Macaca fascicularis: one gene and its partners. The protein of the gene in region 3 binds, or shares a complex with, the protein of the main gene of each other region. Links are inferred from orthologs where the notes say so. Each region holds a gene or a part of one and is shown on either strand. Other genes may lie near its edges. The genes, in order: ITGB6, TGFBR1 and TGFB1.

Region 1 (3,652 bases), on a different chromosome or scaffold from region 3:
AATTGACATTAGAATTCTAGGTTCCTGTCTCCCTCTTTCTCTCCTCTTGCACCCCCTCCCCCTCTCTTTCTCCCCCACCTACACCTCCACAGCATTGTTCTAAGAAGTCACTTAAATTCTCTGTACCATATTTCCCCAAGTGTTAAATGGGGAAAATATGACAATCGCAGATTGCTGCTTCAGAAATCAAATCTATTTCTTTGTTTTCTTTCTTTCTTTTTGAGACAGAGTCTTGCTCTGTCTCCCAGGCTGGAGTGCTGTGGTGCGATCTTGGCTCACTGCAAGCTCCACCTCCCGGGTTCACGTCATTCTCCTGCCTCAGTCTCCCGAGTAGCTGGGATTACAGGTGCCCGCCACCGTGCCTGGCTAATATTTTGTATTTTTTAGTAGAGACGGGGTTTCACAGTGTTAGCCAGGATGGTCTTGATCTCCTGACCTCGTGATCTGCCCGCCTTGGCCTCCCAAAGTGCTGGGATTACAGGCGAGAGCCAATGCGCCCAGCCTCTATTTCATACATGAGTTGGCACTCACTGTGTTCTAGGCACTGTGCTATCAGGAAACAGAGATAATAAACCAGGCCTGGCCCTGAGGATTGCGCAAGAAAGAGAGATGTAAGAAAACGTATTTCTACGTAGAGATGTGCAAGAACACATCTGCATATGCAACTGAAGGGAAAGATGATTGCTTCAGAGCCTACCAGAGGTCAAAGAAGGCTCTCTGGGGACAGTAATGACTGAGCTGGCTTTTCAAGGATAATGAAGAGTTTCTCAGCAGGCTAGGAGGGAAGAATATTCCAGGCAGAGGGAATAACATGTGCACAAGCATGACAGCCTCATGGTCTGTTCAGGAAAAGCAGTTGGATACATAGGGGTTTATTGAGAAGATCATGCATGTCCAAAGAGCTCTGAAATTTCTTCCTGGTTTTACGAAAGTCAGTTGTTTTCTTTGAATGTCACTAGCATTTTATAAATTACAAAAAATAAGCCAAAGGTTAATAAGCACCAACCAAGCCATACCTGACTAGTTGTTACCCATGGAACATGAAAGCATGGCACGATTCAGGGACCATCATTCACTGCAAATCCTATATGGTTACTGTTCTGGTTTGGGTCCCTCCTTTCTGAGGCCGTGGCTAAGAACAGAATGAGCTGCCTGTATTGCTTCACCAGCACCAGGCTTTTTGAGAGGTTGGGGAGGTTCTGGGATCATGGGATTCATAGCACATCCAGCTTCCCACATGTCCCACTGCCCACCTATGCTCCGGTGGGAATCTCTAAGGATGGTGAGAATTGAACTGGGGCAACTTGTTAATCTCAGATTAGAAAATGTGCACGGCTTTCACCAAGCGTGAATTATTTCACATGTATTACACCAGTTGTTGCTTCATTCTCCTACTTATAGCCCTGAAAACAGTACAGAGTGCAGGTTACACACCAAGACAGTTGACATGGAGTATTCATTCTTGCTGTCCAAGTGACAGAGCCCATCATTAGGAATGACGATGCCTGCCAGTTTGCTGTCCATTCCAAAATGAGAATCAGCATCACTCACAAAGACCAGGAGGTGCAGGGAATCATTCCGCCAACCAATTTTTTCCTACAGTGAGAAACAAACATTTGTGTGATACTGGAGGGAGGCAGGCGTTTTATTGAGTGTGGATCAATTATGCTGGGACACATTTAGGTTATAAAAATAATATTGCTAGTCTATTTTAGCCTTTTTATCTATTGTGAATTGATAATATTAATGTTTTTAATAAAACATGAAATTCTGTGACATTTGCTTTTTCCTGGATAACATTTTCATATGATTTATGCTTCAGAAAAGCATAGCTCCACTACAATCAGTATTCAGTTGATCTTGACTTTTACATAGTTAAATTATTTTTACAATCCAGCTTTCAGTTCTCCAAAAAATTGAGCAGAGGAGTTCATAGATGGTCCCAAATCCAAATTGAAGCCAAACTCGTGAAAATGCAATGTTAAAGGGGCTCAAAGTAAGCCTGTTTCATTAAAATGTTACCCAGCATTTAGGCACATATTTCTCTTTCTAATGATGTCATCCAAAAATTATAAACCTAATACAAGGATAAGCATTGCTTATGAAAGTATGGCCCCAAGGTCCTGCTAATTAAAATTGTCTGTTGTTGGTGTTTAGTAAAGCCCTCCCCTTTAATTAATATTAGTTCAGGAACCAATTGGGTAAAAACGTATCCTGGCTGTTCCATCCCACATTATTCCTTTCCTTCCTCCTCTAATTCCCTAGTCCTCCCACTTTCTAGGAGCTTCAGCCTTGTTTATTTCCTGGTATTTTCCATGAAGGGCTCTTGCCTAAAGACAAGGGAATCATTCTTGTGGATACTTGTCAGATAGTCAAGGAGAAGCAGTGTTCCTGTGATGTTGTAGAGACAGCACACTTCCAAAGCTTACTTTGTTGGTTCAAAACAATAGCTATGTAGTCATATGTATGGACATATACTGATTCAGAGCATTTTAACTTTTTAAAATAAATGTTCTACCCTTGATTTTTTTTTACCATGATTAATCCAAAAACTAATCTGATCTTGATCTTTGAAAATTAATCATGCATAGCTATTGTTTCAACTAAATTTTCCCAACACAATGTTTTTAGATTATTCATCATAGGCATAAAGAACAGTCCCCATTTCAACATGATTTAATTAAATATTTGGCAAAAATTGTGTGTTTTAAGAAAAATACAAAATGTAGAAATTTAGAGATCAAAGGAAAGGAAATTAGCTAATCTTTTTGAAGTAGAATTGTTAATAAGAGATGAACTTTATGTTAACAGCGTGAAACAGCACTCCCTTCAGCATACCTTACACACAGCAGCTTGCATAATTGCATCAAATCCACCTTCAGGTGTGTCGATATTAGCAGAAATTTTCTGATTCTTCACAATTTCATTGAATCTTTCAGCATCATTTGTCAATGGCAAAATGTGCTTGAATCCAAATGTAGGTAAACAGAAGTATGGAATACTACTGCAAAAGTGAGATGCAAAAATATTATTGATGAAATGTAATGGATCTGATAGCTTAGCAACATTCTCTTAAATGAAGATTAGTTTTTCTAAAGGGCCTGACTCTGTAACTCAGCTATGAATCTCACTGTTAAGGTTGTTGACATCATCTCCCACCCTTTCTATGTTGACCATATTAGCTAACACTTATTTAGAGCTTATTGTGTGTCCTGCACTGGCTCAGACTCAGATAACAGATAATCAGGTGATCAGACTCCTGTGTGTGTGTGTGTGTGTGTGTGTGTGTGTGTGTGTAATCACTACCTTCTATGGGCTCCCAACCAAAATTCACCACTAAGTTTATACAATGACAATTCCTTTGTATTCTGATATCTCAGGCTGTCATCAAGTATGAATCACCCTGTAGCAAGACAAGAGAGGAACCTGTCTTCTTTTTTCTCTGCTCCCTCCTGTACCACCAGGTCTGCCTGCCAAGGGCCCAACAATTGTAGCAGCATTCTTGGTTTGAGAGTCCAACTATACTGGGATTGAATAGGCCAGCCTAGAAATAAAACCACTACTTAAAGTACAACATTACGATGAAATCTGCACCAAAGATATTACAGTAGAACACAAAGGGCTGATCATGAGTTCAGCCACATCTTATTTT
Region 2 (3,652 bases), on a different chromosome or scaffold from region 3:
TTTTTGTATCTTAGTAGAGACAGGTTTCACCATGTTGCTCAAGGCTAGTCTCGAACTCCTGACCTCAAGTGATTCACTCACTTTGGCTTCCCAAAGTGCTGGGATTACAGGCATGAGCCGTGCCCAGCCAATAGCTCCACCAGTTTTTTAAAGGCAGAACATATCTTTTTTTTTTTTTTTTTAAACAGAGTTTGCATACTTTTTATTCTATCTTAACCTCCTGAACTTTTAAGTCCAGATCATTTTCTTGTAACTTCCATTAATAATTAAAATTTTCTGGTTGTTTCAGAAAATTACAATTATTCTGACATTCATCCTGAGTCTTGCTGGTTTACTACTTACCACCATTTCTTTCATACCACATCTTTCCCATTCTTGAGATCTTCAGTAGATTAATCTCTTATCATACAGAGTCCTATTTCTAGTAATTTCCTTCAGGAACAGTCCATGCGTCCTTGTACACTGAACTTGTGGCAAGAAGGCTGTTGCCTTTGTATATGAAAAATCTTGGCCTATTTAAAGAATTTTAGGTGACTACAAAAATGTTCCATTTGCCCTCTGATATTTAAGCAGAAAATCTGAACTTTTTTTTTTTTTTTGCCTTTTATAGGTAACCAATGTTTATGTGTGTTAAATGCTTATATAATTCTTTTATTTTTGAAACTGATACTTTTTATTACATGTGTTTGGATTAATATTTTTTCATTAATTTTGCCTGGTATTCTGTCTTCTTTCTAGTCTCATGCCTTTTTCTGGAATTCTGATAATAAGCATATTGGATCATCTAAATCTGTTCCCTATATCTCTTAATATGCTCACCAACTGTCTTTTCTCTGAATTGTAACACAATTTCTTAAGCTTGTCCCAAACTTGACTATAAAATTATGGCATCCAGTCTGTTGTTCGCTCTCAATAGTGCATTTTTAAAAACATTCATCAGTTGGGCTTTTCTTCTGAAAGCAACCTTTAACAACCGTGAAATGTTCTCATTTCATAGTGAATAACTGAAAATAGACCCTGGACTGTTTGAAAGTTCCTCCCTATCATGTGGTAAACCTATTTCATAGGATGACATCTAATCTATCTAGTTCAGACTACTTCTTTTGAGCTCCTAACTCTTCACTGGTAATGTTTTGCTGTTTGCTTATCTTAGAGCTGGAAATGAGAAGTTTATATATGGTAATTAGAAACATGAGAAATGAGGTGACTTCTTCACAAGGTTTTATAAATCTCTATTCAGATATTTCAAGCTCAAATGATGGAAATGGGAAATTCTGGAATTATCCTTTTCTTTGTCACATTATAACTGCAGATGCTTTCATCAAAGTCAAAGACATAGTAGTCTAACCAACCCTTACCACGGGAGAGCTGCATTATCATGCTGAACAGGTGGAGGACTGGCCTTTTCCTTCTGCGCTACAGCAGTGCTTCCTCCTTTAATTAGCACAAGGCCTGGACCAACTCTGAGTGGAAAGTGAGCAACTGTGTCTGCTCCTCTGAGCACTGAAGCCAGGTGCTTCCTAAAAGGGAACTGAGAGTTCGCCCCGTACCCTCACTCACCCCCAATCCCTCGTCTAAGTTATTGGTCGGACTTTTCAATGACTAACCTTTCTTATTAGTTATTGATCCTATTCTTTACCAGTCTGGTGTCATCTGTACTGTAAATTGCAGAACTGCAGAAGTTCCTCACAAGTGTTGGCATGTGGGTGGCATTCTACCATTAATTCCACTAGTATTAACATAGGTTGCCCTCATTTTTATATTCCTTTGGGATCTGGGGAAAGAGGTAAGAGTTAAATACATGTGCTCAGACTTCCATATTAAACTGGAATCTTAAAATTAAAAAGTTTATTAAGCCTTCAAACTACTGGTTCTGCCAGGAAATTTTATTTATTTACTTATTTAATTATCTTTTTTTTTTTTTGAGACAGAGCCTCACTCTGTCACCCAGGCTGGAGTGCAGTGGCACAATCTCGGCTCACTGCAAACTCTGCCTCCCAGGTTCAAAGATTCTTGTGCCTCAGCCACCCAAGTAGCTGGGATTACAAGCATGTGCCACCATGCCCAGCTAATTTTTGTGATTTTAGTAGAGATAGGGTTTCGCCAGGTTGTCCAGGCTGGTCTCAAACTTCTGGCCTCAAGTGATCTGCCCACCTTAGGCTTTCCAAAGTGCTGGGATTACAGGCATGAGTCACCAGCCCCGGGAAATTTTAAATGTAAACTACAGGTGAAGGACCAAAATTCTAGAAATCATGTATAATTAATTTATGCATAAAGATAATAAAACAAGCTGAGATTACAAAATGAAAACATCTAGACTACTTAGTGCTGCTCTGAATTACCACTCATTAAGACTGTTGACTGCTGTAAAAGATAGGAGCATTATATAAGGAAGAAGAAATTCACTCTGAGAACAAAGTAGAGACAATCTGAAGATGTTGTTGGGGCTTTGTCAGAATTTGCTTTTATCTATCCTTTTAGGTATAACAGACCTCAGAGGAAGTCCACCCTGGAACAACCTTCTTAAACAACACACACCCAGGAGGCAGGATCTTGGCTACTCTTATAAGTCTGTAACAGTGGACAAGCCACTTCTTGCCTCTAAACGGAATGAGTTGGATTAGACAACTTCTATGATCCCTTCCACTTCTAAAGTCACAGAGTGTGAAGGGTTTTTCTTGTAGTATCTAGGAAAAAAATTTTATAGAACAACTTACCAGTAGTTGGAAGTTCTATTTTATTGCAATGGTCCTGATTGCAGCAATATGTTGTAGTCACAGACCCAGTTTTTGAAGAGGGTGCACATACAAATGGCCTATCTCGAGGAATTAAGTCAATTTCAGCTATACACATGCTGTTGTGTATAACTTTGTCTGTGGTCTCTGTGACAGAGACAAAGCAGAGCCCATCTGTCACACAAGTAAAATTGTCTTTTGTACAGAGGTGGCAGAAACACTGTAATGCTGGAAAAAGAGAAAGATTCTATTAGAAAAAAATCTCAAGGTTAACAGTTTGGAATTATCCAATATTCACTCTAACAATACATTCTTGATCCTATTATCACACAACTTCTATGCACTGTTCAAAAAAACAACTATTCGTTGCTCTTAGAAGTTTCAAATTATATTAAGAACCACACACATGTGGAAGCCCAAGGAAATGTAGTAACACTTGGATCCAGGTTTTTTCCTGAAGTTTTTTGCTTCCAAGTATAGAAAAATTTTGTTATGTTCAATTTCATCAAAGCAAGGCAAGCATTTGCCTTCCCATTAGAAACAAAGTACATTTAAATTTGTAATGGTTATACTTTTTTTTGTTTTGTTTTGTTTTTAACCAGCCCCAAACTAAACATTCACATACTCCTCCTTTGAGAAGCAATGCGTGAAAACACTACCACCCATTAACTGTAGGCTAATGCCATTTCAGGGGCTTTCTGGGTAATGGAGTAACAGAAACAGATTTGTACTGAGCCAGACACTCCCTATTCCCCTTGGTGCAAACCCTAAAAAAGACATGTGTATTCTGGCCAGGACTGGGGCATTCTCTTAGTGAAGCAAAGCAGACTACACCCATAACAATACATACATGCTCCAACCACACAGGCAACCTAACTACAGAAATGATTGGCGGCAAAACACTAGCTTCATGCCCA
Region 3 (3,652 bases):
ACTTAGAAGGCTGGAATCTTAGGAGTTGGACTCTTTAAGGACACAGGATTCTTGAAAGTTGGGATCTCTGAAAAGGTTGGGGACTCTAGAATCATGCTGTCCAATGTGACAGCCGCTAGTCACATTTAATTTTATTAAAATTTAAAGTATTTAAAATTAAATTAAAAATTTAGGGCCAGGCATAGTGGCTCACATCTCTAATCCCAGCACTTTGGGGAGCCGAGGCAGGCAGATTGCTTGAGCCCGGGAGTCCGAGACCAGTCTGGGAAACATTTTGAAACTTGGTCTCTACAAAAAATACTAAAATTAGCCTGTTAACGGTGATGTGTGCCTCTAGTCCCAGCTACTCAGTAGTCTGAGGTGGGAGGATTGATTGAGCCCAGGAGGTCGAGGCTATAGTGAACTGTGATTGCACCACTGCACTCCAGCCTGGGTGATGGAGCGAGACCCTGTCTCAAAAAATATATATATAGGCCAGGTGTGGTGGCTCATGCCTGTAATCCCAGCACTTTGGGAGGCCAAGTGGGTGGATCACTTGAGGTCAAGAGTTCAAGACCAGCCTGGCCAACATGGCGAAACTCCATCTCTACTAAAAATACAAAAATTAGCCAGGTGTGGTGGCGGGCACCTGTAATCCCAGCTACTCAGGAGGCTGAGACGGGAGAATCGCTTGACCCTGGGAGGTGGAGACTGCAGTGAGCGGAGATCATACCATGCATTCCAGCCTGGGCAACAGAGCGAGACTCTGTCTCAAAAAATAAAAATGAAAAACAAATCCTCATTCTCACTGGTTGTATTTCTAGTGCTCTATAGTCACATGTGGTTAGCAGCTACTATTTTGGATGTTGCAGAAAAAGAACATTTCCAGAAAGTTCTTTAGGACAGCACTGCTCTAGAAGATAGGGAGCTTCCAAGAGGACTGGGGCATCTGGAAGGGCTGGAGGCTCTAGCAGTTTCTATGAGCTAGAATCCACATCAGAGGGAATGTTAAACTCATACGATGGTAGATTTCAGACTTTCATAGTGAGAGAACTTTGTCCTATGTTAGCTTGGCCTCTTGGAGTCTGGGGAATTCAGCTTTATTCTGCAGGCCCTGGAGTGGTCTATCCAGCCCCAGAAAATTCTTTTTTTTTTTTGTGGTGGAGTTTTGCTGCTGTTGCCCAGGCTGGAGTGCAATGGCACGATCTCAGCTCACTGCAACCTCTGCCTCCCGGGTTCAAGCGATTCTCCTGCCTCAGCCTCCCGAGTAGCTAGGATGACAGGCGTGCGCCACCACGCCTGGCTAATTCTGTATTTTTAGTAGAGACAGGGTTTCTCCATATTGGTCAGGGTGGTCTCGAACTTCTGACCTCGGGTGATCTGCCTGCCTCGGCCTCCCAAAGTGCTGGGATTACAGGCGTGAGCCACTGCGCCCAGCCCAGAAAATTATACTACACAGATGTTGGGTGCCTCCAGCATCTAGGTGCGGCTTGGCAGACTCTTGGGTTTATAGAACATTAGTCTTCTAAAGCTTCTCAGGCTCATTAAATGTGGAAATCTTGGGATATTATCAAACATTTGAATCACAAAATGACTTCTAAGTTACTGACTTAGAATTCAGGGTGTCACATTTGCAGAACTGCATGCTCAGCAAACCCCAGAATGTTTGCAGCAGAATTTTATTGTATTTGTTATTTATTTATTTATTAATTAATATTATTTTGAGACGAAGTCTCATCCTGCCACCCAGGCTGGAGTGCAGTGGCGGGATCTTGGCTCACTGCAATCTCTATCTTCCGGGCTCAAGCAATTCTCCTGCCTCAGCCTCCCAAATAGTGGGGACTACAGGCGCACGCCACCATGCCTGGCTAATTTTTGTATTTTTAGTAGAGATGGGGTTTCACCATGTTGGCCAGGCTGGTCTTGAACTCCTGACCTCAAGTGATCCACCGCCTTGGGCTCCCAAAGTGCTGGAATTACAGGCATGAGCCACTGTGCCCAGCCCAGAATGTTAGCAGCGGAATTTTAGCATTGTGGGCTGTCCACGCTGAGTGGGGCTTAGCATTTCACCAATGAGGAAACAGGCCGGAGAAGGCAAGAAAACACGTTTGACTGAGCTGTGTGAAGGTGTCTTGACCGCAGCCTGGGCGTTTTCTCCACCCTTCCTCTCACGGGTGCTGTGGGGGAGGATGGGTGCCACAGGACCACACAGCGTGGCTGTCTGAGAAGGTAGTGCGTGGGAACTTTCTGGAAGCAGATGGGGTGAAGGGTTGAGTTAGTATATGAGGGGGCGTGGCAGCATATACCCACTGTCTCTCTCCCAACTTCATCATCCTCTAGAAATACAGCAACAATTCCTGGCGATACCTCAGCAACCGGCTGCTGGCGCCCAGCGACTCGCCGGAGTGGTTGTCTTTTGATGTCACCGGAGTTGTGCGGCAGTGGTTGAGCCGCGGAGGTGAGGATCACTTGTGTGTCCCACCCCTGTTTCTCAGTGGGGTGCACCCCATTGTGTTGTCTTGGGGTCACTTTACCTAGGATCCCTCTCCGCCCCATACTGGTGTGAAAGTACTGAGACCTGGCTCCCCTCTGTGGCCTGGAAACCCGAGTGATTGGCTAATCTGTTTCCTGAGCACCTCTCTGCCCTGCCTTGTGATGGGTGATGCTAAGGACAGAGCAATGACCAAATCAGCCCCATCCTTGCCCTCATAGAGCTCATATAGTTCATTGGGTGGGTAGCTGGGGAACAGATCTGTAAGGCAGTGATGACCCAGAGTGGGTGGGACCGGGATGGGGAGCCCAAAGAAGGTACCTGACCCAGCCCAGAATCAGGGAGGGCTTCCTGGAGGAGGGGCACCATAGCTGATGTTGAAGGGATGAGTAGAATGGTCAGGAAAAGGAGAGGTGTAAGAGTATTCTGGGGCTGGGCACGGTGGCTTACACCTATAATCCCAGCACTTTGGAAGACTAAGGAGGATGGATCGCTGGAGTTCAGGAGTTTGAGAGCAGCCTGGGTAACATGGCAAAACCCGGTGTCTACAAAAAAATACAAAAATTAGCCATGCATGCTGGTGCGCGCCTATAGTCCCAGCTGCTTGGGAGACTGAGGTGGGAGAATCACCTGCGCCTGGGAGGTCGAGGCTGCAGTGAGCCATAATCACAGTACTGCAATCCAGCCTACACGAAAGAGTGAGATCCCATCTCAAAAAAAAAGAAAAACAAGTGTTCCAGGCAAGGGGAACAGTCTGTGCAAAGGCCCAGAGGCCAGGGAGCCTAACTCATTTGATCTGTCCCAGAGATGACTGTCTCTGTCCAGTTCCCGGCAGGGGCCATGGTGCCCGTATCTCTCTCCCTCACCTCCCTCTCATTCATGCTTTTATTCAATCATTGCCCACAGGTTCCTGCTGTGTGTCTGGCCCTGTGCTGGGTGGTGTGGGGGACACAGTGGTAACCAAGACAGCCCTCAGTTCTGCCCTCATGGGGCCCACAGTCACTTCTGGACACCGAAGAGATCTTGCCCCACCAGGCAGGAATGACCTAGAATGATTGAGGATGGGACGGGGAGGCACGGGCAGAGAGGACAAGGCTGGGACAGAGAGGCATGCAGGATGGGGGATGCCCTAAGCGCTGTTGGGAGCCCAGAGAAGGCTCCCAGACCCATCTGGGGAGTCTA

What was found.
Region 1: the proteins of TGFB1 (region 3) and ITGB6 are in contact, whole or in part, in a crystal structure (PDB 5FFO), measured with the Homo sapiens proteins. The link is inferred for Macaca fascicularis from reciprocal best matches to the Homo sapiens genes TGFB1 and ITGB6. Residues at the interface, in NP_000651.3 of Homo sapiens: Pro70, Gly71, Pro72, Glu75, Leu158, Asn237, Gly245, Asp246, Leu247, Thr249, Ile250, His251, Met253, Asn254; in NP_000879.2 of Homo sapiens: Ser142, Ala143, Ser144, Asp146, Asp147, Pro196, Cys197, Ser199, Ile200, Pro201, Tyr202, Lys228, Lys231, Ile232, Ser233, Ala234, Asn235, Ile236, Asp237, Thr238, Glu240.
Region 2: the proteins of TGFB1 (region 3) and TGFBR1 are in contact, whole or in part, in a crystal structure (PDB 3KFD), measured with the Homo sapiens proteins. The link is inferred for Macaca fascicularis from reciprocal best matches to the Homo sapiens genes TGFB1 and TGFBR1. Residues at the interface, in NP_000651.3 of Homo sapiens: Ala279, Leu280, Asp281, Asn283, Tyr284, Tyr328, Ile329, Trp330, Gln335, Lys338; in NP_004603.1 of Homo sapiens: His39, Leu40, Thr42, Lys43, Phe55, Asn68, Met70, Ile78, Phe84, Val85.

What each region holds. Positions count from the first base shown.
Region 1 is NC_088386.1:55,604,711-55,608,362, forward strand, and holds part of ITGB6 (integrin beta-6), read right to left. Parts: intron 3,005-3,652; coding exon 2,839-3,004; intron 1,597-2,838; coding exon 1,435-1,596; intron 1-1,434. UniProt on the Homo sapiens protein: Integrin alpha-V:beta-6 (ITGAV:ITGB6) is a receptor for fibronectin and cytotactin. It recognizes the sequence R-G-D in its ligands. Internalization of integrin alpha-V/beta-6 via clathrin-mediated endocytosis promotes carcinoma cell invasion.
Region 2 is NC_088389.1:58,995,853-58,999,504, forward strand, and holds part of TGFBR1 (TGF-beta receptor type-1), read right to left. Parts: intron 2,964-3,652; coding exon 2,718-2,963; intron 1-2,717. UniProt on the Homo sapiens protein: Transmembrane serine/threonine kinase forming with the TGF-beta type II serine/threonine kinase receptor, TGFBR2, the non-promiscuous receptor for the TGF-beta cytokines TGFB1, TGFB2 and TGFB3.
Region 3 is NC_088393.1:48,485,348-48,488,999, reverse strand, and holds part of TGFB1 (transforming growth factor beta-1 proprotein), read left to right. Parts: intron 1-2,319; coding exon 2,320-2,437; intron 2,438-3,652. UniProt on the Homo sapiens protein: Transforming growth factor beta-1 proprotein: Precursor of the Latency-associated peptide (LAP) and Transforming growth factor beta-1 (TGF-beta-1) chains, which constitute the regulatory and active subunit of TGF-beta-1, respectively.